Linked DNA regions of Saccharomyces cerevisiae S288C. Changing the gene in region 2 together with the main gene of any one other region gives a genetic interaction. Each region holds a gene or a part of one and is shown on either strand. Other genes may lie near its edges.

What was found. A genetic interaction does not mean that the proteins touch.
Region 1: of ICL1 (region 2) and ACO1, changing one enhances a phenotype caused by changing the other (phenotypic enhancement), as found in Saccharomyces cerevisiae (one study listed by BioGRID).

Annotation. Positions count from the first base shown.
Region 1 is NC_001144.5:735,455-740,792, reverse strand, and holds the start of ACO1 (aconitate hydratase ACO1), read left to right. Parts: upstream 1-3,244; coding exon 3,245-5,338. Other genes in the region: 1-phosphatidylinositol 4-kinase STT4, read left to right, coding at 1-2,632. UniProt on the Saccharomyces cerevisiae protein: Catalyzes the isomerization of citrate to isocitrate via cis-aconitate, a step in the citric acid cycle.
Region 2 is NC_001137.3:284,428-290,041, reverse strand, and holds ICL1 (isocitrate lyase 1), read left to right. Parts: upstream 1-3,127; coding exon 3,128-4,801; downstream 4,802-5,614. UniProt on the Saccharomyces cerevisiae protein: Catalyzes the formation of succinate and glyoxylate from isocitrate, a key step of the glyoxylate cycle, which operates as an anaplerotic route for replenishing the tricarboxylic acid cycle.

The DNA.
Region 1 (5,338 bases), on a different chromosome or scaffold from region 2:
TTCTGGATTTATATCTTTACATTCTTGGAGGTCAAAATATCTTTTCGATACCGCTATTACATCATCACCAGAGGATATCAAAAGGCAAATAGGTATTTCCACTCAAAACATAAGAAAAAATTTGACCTTAGGAAATAAGATTATAACTAAAGACGTAACTGATTTTCTTGATATGGCTACCGCGTTGTTAATTCTTGGCAATGGTGCACCAGCGTCATTGATATATGATATTGTGCACATCCCGTTCGAAGTCTTCACCTCTGCATCTTTAAAGATTGCTACAAACGTATGGTTAACAATCATAACTGAGAAGCCCGAAGTTGCACATTTGCTTTTAGTTGAAGTATGCTATTGCTGGATGCGCTCCATTGATGACAATATTGGTCTCTATTCTCGCGATCATGACTTAAAGGGCGAAGAATACCAAAAAATGGAATATTCCCCTTACGACAAAGCAGGTATCAACAGAGATGCAAAAAATGCATCCCAAGCTATGCAACCACATCTTCATGTTATTAAATTTTTTGCTTCCCATTTCGAGGGCACACTATTTCAAAGTGACTTTTTATTGAAAATTTTCACGAAATGTGCGCTTTATGGTATCAAGAATCTGTATAAGGCTTCACTACACCCGTTCGCTAGAATGATTCGCCACGAATTATTGTTATTCGCGACTCTCGTACTAAACGCAAGTTATAAGCAGGGATCCAAGTATATGGGCCGTTTGTCGCAAGAAATCACAAACGGTGCCCTAAGTTGGTTTAAAAGACCAGTAGCGTGGCCATTCGGCTCAAATGAGCTGAAAATCAAAGCAGATTTATCTGTTACTAGGGACCTTTTCCTTCAGCTCAACAAATTAAGCTCGCTAATGTCACGTCATTGCGGGAAAGATTACAAGATCCTGAACTATTTCTTGGCAAGCGAAATCCAGCAGATTCAAACCTGGCTTACTCCGACTGAGAAGATTGAAGGAGCCGACAGCAACGAGCTTACAAGCGATATCGTTGAAGCTACCTTTGCTAAAGATCCAACATTAGCAATAAATCTCTTACAACGATGTTATAGCAAGAAAGCTGAGGATGTTTTAGTGGGCTTAGTTGCAAAACATGCTTTAATGTGTGTGGGGTCCCCAAGTGCTCTTGACCTGTTCATAAAAGGAAGCCACCTGAGCAGTAAGAAAGACCTACACGCAACCTTATACTGGGCGCCAGTGAGCCCGTTAAAATCTATCAACCTTTTCCTTCCCGAATGGCAAGGTAATTCTTTTATCTTACAATTCAGCATATATTCGTTGGAATCACAAGATGTGAACTTGGCATTCTTCTATGTTCCTCAAATCGTACAATGTTTGAGATACGATAAAACCGGATATGTCGAAAGATTGATTTTGGATACTGCGAAAATTAGTGTGTTATTTTCTCATCAAATAATCTGGAATATGCTTGCAAACTGCTACAAGGATGATGAAGGTATACAAGAAGATGAAATCAAACCAACTCTAGATCGTATTAGGGAGCGTATGGTTTCAAGTTTCAGCCAATCTCATCGCGATTTTTACGAACGTGAATTTGAATTCTTCGACGAAGTAACTGGCATATCTGGTAAGTTGAAACCATACATAAAAAAAAGTAAGGCTGAAAAGAAACATAAGATCGATGAAGAAATGAGCAAAATTGAGGTGAAACCTGATGTTTATTTACCTTCTAATCCTGACGGTGTAGTTATTGATATTGATCGGAAGAGTGGTAAGCCACTTCAATCTCACGCAAAGGCGCCTTTTATGGCGACCTTTAAAATAAAGAAAGACGTAAAAGATCCTTTGACAGGTAAAAACAAGGAAGTTGAAAAATGGCAAGCTGCTATCTTCAAAGTCGGTGATGACTGTAGGCAAGATGTTCTAGCGTTACAATTGATCTCGCTATTTAGAACCATTTGGTCTAGTATTGGCTTGGATGTCTACGTTTTTCCCTACAGAGTTACTGCGACGGCACCGGGTTGTGGTGTCATCGATGTGCTACCCAATTCGGTATCCCGTGATATGTTAGGACGTGAAGCTGTTAATGGATTATATGAATATTTCACTAGTAAATTTGGTAATGAATCTACTATCGAATTTCAAAACGCACGAAACAACTTTGTTAAATCCTTAGCGGGATATAGCGTAATTTCGTATTTGTTGCAATTCAAGGATAGACATAATGGTAACATTATGTACGATGATCAAGGACATTGTCTACATATCGATTTTGGGTTTATTTTTGATATTGTCCCAGGTGGTATCAAGTTTGAAGCAGTACCATTCAAGCTGACGAAAGAAATGGTTAAAGTGATGGGAGGTTCGCCCCAGACCCCAGCGTATCTGGACTTTGAAGAACTTTGTATCAAGGCATATCTAGCCGCCCGTCCGCACGTGGAGGCCATAATTGAGTGTGTAAATCCTATGTTAGGAAGCGGTCTCCCCTGCTTTAAGGGTCACAAGACAATTAGGAATCTAAGAGCAAGATTTCAACCTCAAAAAACCGATCACGAAGCTGCACTATATATGAAGGCGCTAATCCGTAAAAGTTATGAAAGTATATTCACTAAAGGTTATGATGAATTCCAAAGGCTCACAAATGGCATTCCGTACTGATATACTTCGCACTTTACATATGCTTATATAAAAATACCAGTTTCCCATCGTCAATTACGCAGACGTAGCCTTCGTTTATTTTCTCTCTTTTTGTATATCATTGTATTAATCATAATCCATTGTATTTTACTTTGTCTTATCTGGCTTTAATGAATGACGCCGGTCACACGCGGGTGCCTGATTCTCGATTGTGCCAAGCCATTTGGGCACGGTGTCAAATTACCTAAAAAATGGCCGAGAGCCGCAAAAGGGAGGTCCGCGGGGCCGGGCAATACCCTTTGTTTTTCGAGCATTTCGGCGCCGAAATCGGCAAAGGTCCTGACCAATCAATAGAGAAATTAGTGCATACGAGAAAAATTTGAACCCTTCAGTTGTTCTCCGCAGGCGACTTTAACCATCAAACCTCCAATCGCTGCCGGTTTTCGGAAAGGCAAGCACAAAAAGGGAGGACAAGGAAAATCTTTTGTTATATATATAATCTTCCGGTTTTAGAGGTTAATTAGGAGGAGTATGTTGCTTAATTCCGTTGTCCCTTGTTCTGTTCACTCTTTCTTAGTTATTACATAGTAGAACGAAGGTAATAAATACTACCATTATTACTATAGATATACAATGCTGTCTGCACGTTCTGCCATCAAGAGACCCATTGTTCGTGGTCTTGCGACAGTCTCCAACTTGACTAGAGATTCAAAAGTCAACCAAAACTTATTAGAAGATCATTCTTTTATTAACTACAAGCAGAATGTGGAAACGCTGGATATCGTAAGAAAAAGATTAAACAGGCCATTTACCTACGCGGAAAAGATTTTGTACGGTCACTTGGATGACCCTCATGGTCAAGATATTCAGAGAGGTGTTTCATACCTAAAATTAAGACCAGATCGTGTTGCCTGTCAAGATGCTACTGCTCAAATGGCTATTTTACAATTTATGTCCGCTGGTTTACCACAGGTTGCTAAGCCAGTCACTGTCCACTGTGACCATTTGATTCAAGCACAAGTTGGTGGTGAAAAAGATTTGAAGAGAGCTATAGATCTAAACAAGGAAGTTTATGATTTCTTGGCCTCTGCCACTGCGAAATATAACATGGGTTTCTGGAAGCCAGGTTCCGGTATCATTCACCAAATTGTTCTGGAAAACTACGCTTTCCCAGGTGCTTTGATCATTGGTACTGACTCCCATACACCAAATGCTGGTGGTTTAGGTCAATTGGCTATTGGTGTTGGTGGTGCTGATGCCGTTGATGTTATGGCAGGTCGTCCATGGGAATTGAAGGCTCCAAAGATCTTAGGTGTTAAGTTGACTGGTAAGATGAACGGTTGGACTTCTCCAAAGGATATTATTTTGAAATTGGCTGGTATCACAACTGTCAAAGGTGGTACTGGTAAAATTGTTGAATATTTCGGTGATGGTGTTGACACCTTCTCCGCTACTGGTATGGGTACCATTTGTAATATGGGTGCTGAAATCGGTGCTACCACATCTGTTTTCCCATTCAACAAATCTATGATTGAATATTTGGAAGCAACTGGTCGTGGTAAGATCGCTGACTTTGCTAAATTATACCACAAGGACCTATTATCTGCTGATAAGGATGCTGAATACGATGAGGTCGTCGAAATTGACTTGAACACTCTGGAACCATACATCAATGGGCCATTTACCCCCGATTTGGCTACTCCAGTTTCTAAGATGAAGGAAGTTGCTGTTGCTAATAACTGGCCATTGGATGTCAGAGTCGGTTTGATCGGTTCTTGTACCAATTCCTCTTATGAAGATATGTCTCGTTCAGCATCCATTGTCAAGGATGCTGCTGCTCATGGTTTGAAATCCAAGACCATTTTCACTGTTACTCCAGGTTCTGAACAAATCAGAGCCACTATTGAACGTGATGGCCAATTAGAAACCTTCAAAGAATTTGGTGGTATCGTTTTGGCAAACGCCTGTGGCCCATGTATTGGTCAATGGGATCGTAGAGATATCAAGAAAGGTGACAAGAATACTATCGTTTCCTCTTACAACAGAAATTTCACTTCTAGAAATGATGGTAACCCACAAACTCATGCTTTTGTTGCATCTCCAGAATTAGTAACTGCGTTCGCCATTGCGGGTGATTTGAGATTCAACCCTCTAACAGACAAATTAAAGGACAAGGATGGTAATGAGTTCATGTTGAAACCACCACATGGTGATGGTTTGCCTCAAAGAGGTTATGATGCTGGTGAGAACACTTACCAAGCTCCACCTGCAGACCGTAGCACCGTTGAAGTTAAAGTTTCTCCAACTTCAGACCGTCTACAACTGTTGAAACCATTCAAACCTTGGGATGGTAAGGATGCTAAAGACATGCCAATCTTGATTAAGGCCGTCGGTAAGACAACTACTGATCATATTTCTATGGCTGGTCCATGGTTGAAATACAGAGGTCATTTAGAAAACATTTCTAATAACTATATGATTGGTGCTATTAATGCTGAAAACAAGAAGGCTAACTGTGTTAAAAATGTATATACTGGTGAATACAAAGGTGTTCCAGACACTGCTAGAGATTACAGAGACCAAGGTATCAAGTGGGTTGTTATTGGTGATGAAAACTTTGGTGAAGGTTCCTCTCGTGAACACGCTGCTTTGGAACCAAGATTCTTGGGCGGTTTCGCTATCATCACAAAGTCTTTCGCTCGTATCCATGAAACTAACTTGAAAAAA
Region 2 (5,614 bases):
TCCAAACGTGCAAAGTGTTATCTCTCGAACCAGTAACAATGTACTTGATATTTTTATATTCTACTATATCTAGGCACCTCACCGTAGAGTTATGACCTTTAAACACATGGGTACAACAACCTTTCTTAATATCTCAAACTCGCACCGTTCTGCCTGTAGAACCGCTGACTAAAATACCGCCATGGGCATACTTCAATGCCCAAACCTCACCATCATGACCTGATAGTTGTAAAAGAAATCTTTTATTTACTAAGTTATAAACTCTGATCGTTTTATCACATCCTCCTGTAATGACATAATTATCTTCAACTTGCAAGCACGCAATAACACTCGTCATATGGCCACTTAACGTGGTCCTTTGAGGTGTATAATCAGGATCAAACAAATTTACCAAAACAGACATTTCAGACACAACTTCCAGTACTTTATTAAAGCTTCGCAGATAGACGTTCTGATATAATTCCAAGGTAATAGAAAGCGATTGCTGTTTAAGTTGAACATGGTTTGCATTGATTTATTTAAACTTCGGGTAAATTGCTGGCTGCAACTTTCATTTAGACGAAAATGCAAAATCAATTGCCCCTTGTTGATAGCTTTAAGTGGAAGCCGTTGACTAGGTTTTAACGGGAGTGTGACTCCAAATGAAAAAATTATTGAAAGCTAAGATTATTTTGCACTATGACATTCTCGATAATCCCTTGGAAAGATTTAAGTGATTAGTCCGAGTACCGATATGGTTGAGAATCAAAGGTTTCTTTTCACAACGGTGACCCCACCATTTGAAAAAAAAAAAAAAATGAAAACGATGGCAACGCCCTTATCTGGCGTGGTTATTACCATAGAAAAGTTTATTCAATGTTTTTGTTATTCTCACTGACACAGACAGCATTTTGGAATATTGCATTCCTAACATATTGCTACATTAGCAATTGAAAGGGCAGTCGGAACTATCACGTAGTTTGAAAATGTCTTCCCGCTTAGCTCATTATGCATAAGCTTGTGCACGGCGTCATGGTCCATTTACTGTACATGGTAAGAAAGTTTTATTCCACCTACACTGATGTTGGCTGGTATGTTGATGGTTTTTGATAATTCACGTGTAATTAAGAACATCGAAACACTATCTGATGTATTTTTTATTGTTGAAATTTCTGACTCGTTTACAACCTACAAGCCCATACTGAGCTAAGTTTGCCATGTGCCCATCTATCTGTATTCGTGTCGAATCGGAAAATTATTATGGTACTTTTGTGTTGGAGATGGACAATAGAACGGTATGATGAGGCTTTGGTATTTTCATTTTAACAAGTGAATTTGAGAATTGGGTGATTTGTGATTATATTTGGGTGCACTGTTGGAAAAGGCTATAATATTACGCATACAGGATATACTGGTAGCATGAATACTACCCCAAATGGATGATATTTTAGGGTTTCATTGTAACAGATATCGGTGGATGTGTTCTTATTTTTATATGTCTCTGATAGTGGTTCTTTTTTGGGAAATTCATAATGATAGGCACTATGGCCGAGTGGTTAAGGCGACAGACTTGAAATCTGTTGGGCTCTGCCCGCGCTGGTTCAAATCCTGCTGGTGTCGTTTTTTTTATTGTTAGAGGTGCCTTGAAAATGCTACATTCATGAAAAGTAGTTGAACTGCTTGGAGACCATATTTACTGGAATATCTTCATATGGTCGAAGGCCGTTTGATGCTTCCAAACTGAATGTTGGGCTGGAATAAATTTTGTAATAGTAGTGCTTCAAATGAATTATTTTTTTTTCATTTTCAATACGCAAATGTAAATGACGCGTACGCTGGGACTGATAAGGTTTGTATTTAGATTCTTCCTGGCCTAAACATTATGTTAACTAGGTTTGTTTTTAGCGCAATTTCATTAGTTCTCAAGGAGCACTACAGATTCTTATTCACTATGGTTTAAGTTATTTCTAGAAAATATAGTGTGATCATCGTCATATATTTTTCGGAATAAAAATTCACACTCACTTATCGACTATTAATCATATTACTAGTATATTACCATATACTCTGTAAGAGGATGACATAAAGAAAGATAACAAAATTAAGAGACAGCCATCAAAATTTAATGGAAGCTGAAATGCATGATTTTGGAAATGTAAAGGATAATGAGTGAGCATATAAAATGGAAGAAAAAATAATAATAGGATTATGTATAAAATATCGATTCCCTTTTGTAGATTTCGAGATCTTCGAGGAGAACTTCTAGCACGTTGTTTACATATCTAATGTTGTAACACGGCCTTTGTTATCTTGTGAATATATCCATCACCTACGTCGCTTGAGGTTTCGTATCAAAGAAAGAGAGTTCAAACATAATCATACGTGTTTCACTCCAAATTTGATCACAAATGGCCACCCATTATAGCTTGTTATTATTTACTTCTTCTTGAGTTCATTTTATTGAAAGATGCCCGCTGGGAACAAAACATAAATAAAATTCAAGAGTACAATATAGCGTAGCATAGTTGCGAGCAAGGGAAGGCAACACAGTTAAAATGACAATGTTAGAAGGAAAAACTAAATCAAGCTCCCATAGGAAATTTCTTGTGTCAGTAATATGTCTCGAGAAAATAATAATAATTGAATCTATTTATTGAAAAGTAAATATCTCGTAACCCGGATGCTTTGGGCGGTCGGGTTTTGCTACTCGTCATCCGATGAGAAAAACTGTTCCCTTTTGCCCCAGGTTTCCATTCATCCGAGCGATCACTTATCTGACTTCGTCACTTTTTCATTTCATCCGAAACAATCAAAACTGAAGCCAATCACCACAAAATTAACACTCAACGTCATCTTTCACTACCCTTTACAGAAGAAAATATCCATAGTCCGGACTAGCATCCCAGTATGTGACTCAATATTGGTGCAAAAGAGAAAAGCATAAGTCAGTCCAAAGTCCGCCCTTAACCAGGCACATCGGAATTCACAAAACGTTTCTTTATTATATAAAGGAGCTGCTTCACTGGCAAAATTCTTATTATTTGTCTTGGCTTGCTAATTTCATCTTATCCTTTTTTTCTTTTCACACCCAAATACCTAACAATTGAGAGAAAACTCTTAGCATAACATAACAAAAAGTCAACGAAAAATGCCTATCCCCGTTGGAAATACGAAGAACGATTTTGCAGCTTTACAAGCAAAACTAGATGCAGATGCTGCCGAAATTGAGAAATGGTGGTCTGACTCACGTTGGAGTAAGACTAAGAGAAATTATTCAGCCAGAGATATTGCTGTTAGACGCGGGACATTCCCACCAATCGAATACCCATCTTCGGTCATGGCCAGAAAATTATTCAAGGTATTAGAGAAGCATCACAATGAGGGTACAGTCTCTAAAACTTTCGGTGCCCTAGATCCTGTCCAGATTTCTCAAATGGCAAAATACTTAGACACAATCTATATTTCTGGTTGGCAGTGTTCATCAACTGCTTCCACCTCAAATGAACCTGGTCCAGACTTAGCTGATTATCCAATGGACACCGTTCCAAACAAAGTGGAACATTTGTTCAAGGCCCAATTGTTTCACGACAGAAAACAACTAGAGGCACGGTCAAAGGCTAAATCTCAGGAAGAACTCGATGAGATGGGTGCCCCAATTGACTACCTAACACCAATTGTCGCTGATGCAGACGCAGGCCACGGCGGTTTAACCGCAGTCTTCAAATTGACCAAGATGTTCATTGAGCGTGGTGCTGCTGGGATCCACATGGAAGACCAGACATCTACAAATAAGAAATGTGGGCATATGGCAGGAAGATGTGTTATACCCGTTCAGGAACATGTTAACAGATTGGTGACTATTAGAATGTGTGCTGATATCATGCATTCTGACTTAATTGTCGTTGCTAGGACTGATTCAGAAGCAGCCACTTTGATTAGCTCAACCATCGATACCAGAGATCATTATTTCATTGTCGGTGCCACCAATCCAAATATCGAGCCATTTGCCGAAGTTTTAAATGATGCCATCATGAGTGGTGCATCAGGACAAGAACTAGCTGACATTGAACAAAAATGGTGTAGAGACGCTGGACTCAAGTTATTCCATGAAGCCGTCATTGATGAAATTGAAAGATCAGCCCTGTCAAATAAGCAAGAATTGATTAAGAAATTCACCTCTAAAGTGGGTCCATTGACTGAAACATCCCACAGAGAAGCCAAGAAGCTCGCTAAAGAAATTCTTGGCCACGAAATTTTCTTCGACTGGGAGCTACCACGCGTAAGGGAAGGGTTGTACCGTTACAGAGGTGGGACGCAATGTTCTATCATGAGGGCCCGTGCATTTGCTCCATATGCTGATTTGGTATGGATGGAATCTAACTACCCAGACTTCCAACAGGCCAAGGAGTTTGCAGAAGGTGTTAAAGAGAAATTCCCTGACCAATGGCTAGCTTACAACTTGTCTCCATCCTTTAACTGGCCAAAAGCCATGTCCGTTGATGAACAACACACCTTCATCCAAAGGCTGGGTGATCTAGGTTACATCTGGCAATTTATCACATTGGCCGGTTTACACACTAACGCTTTAGCTGTCCATAACTTCTCTCGTGACTTTGCCAAGGATGGGATGAAAGCTTATGCCCAGAATGTTCAGCAGAGGGAAATGGACGATGGTGTTGATGTGTTGAAACATCAAAAATGGTCTGGTGCGGAGTACATCGATGGGTTATTGAAGTTAGCTCAAGGTGGTGTTAGCGCAACAGCTGCTATGGGAACCGGTGTCACAGAAGATCAATTCAAAGAAAATGGCGTAAAGAAATAGGACAAGGATTAACCATTAGAACTGCCGGCATTTCCTGACAAGTATATATATTCGTAATCTCAATGTATATTTTTTTCATATATAAACATGCGTACTTAAAAACTTAAACTCATCGTTACTGCAGTACAATGTTCTCTAATGGCATCTCTCTAATGGTACTCCAACTAAAGTCAACATTCTCTCCGTGCAAGAATGCCTTTCTCTAGTTGCAAAAACGAGTCAATAAACATCTTTGATCGAGTCGCCTCATTTTTGTTGACTCGGTGACTAAAATCAGTGCCATTTCTGTCCATGCCTCGTGCGCGAATGATTGAATCGAACTAATCCCGAACACAATCATAGTATCGTATCGCCCATTAGTGCCGTGAGTGTACGCGAGGCAAAAGGCACCATGGAAAATATTCCCTTAGTCATCTTGGAAATCATTGAGACTGTAAAGGAACTCGCAAACGGGTAACCGATATTTACCCCACCTTTGGTCGAGAAATTCCACCTGTTCGGCAATTTTTGCCGCTCTTCTCAAGAGCAAAAGGCGTTTTTTTTTCTGACACGCCTCTTCTCTCGCATGCCAAACTCAAGCGTCCTACATGCTTTTCTCATGAAAGCCAAGTGCGGGATGAAAAACATAAAATGTGACAAATAGTGCCACCTCATAATGTAATCGAGAGGCAAAATTAATCACTTTGTTCTCCCTTTTCTTTTTTCTGGGCGCTCAAAGTGAGATGCTTTCTGTAGAAAATAACATGGCCGTTAGAAGGTACTCGTCATCTTTTAGCTGCCGCATACATGTACACACACACACACACACACACG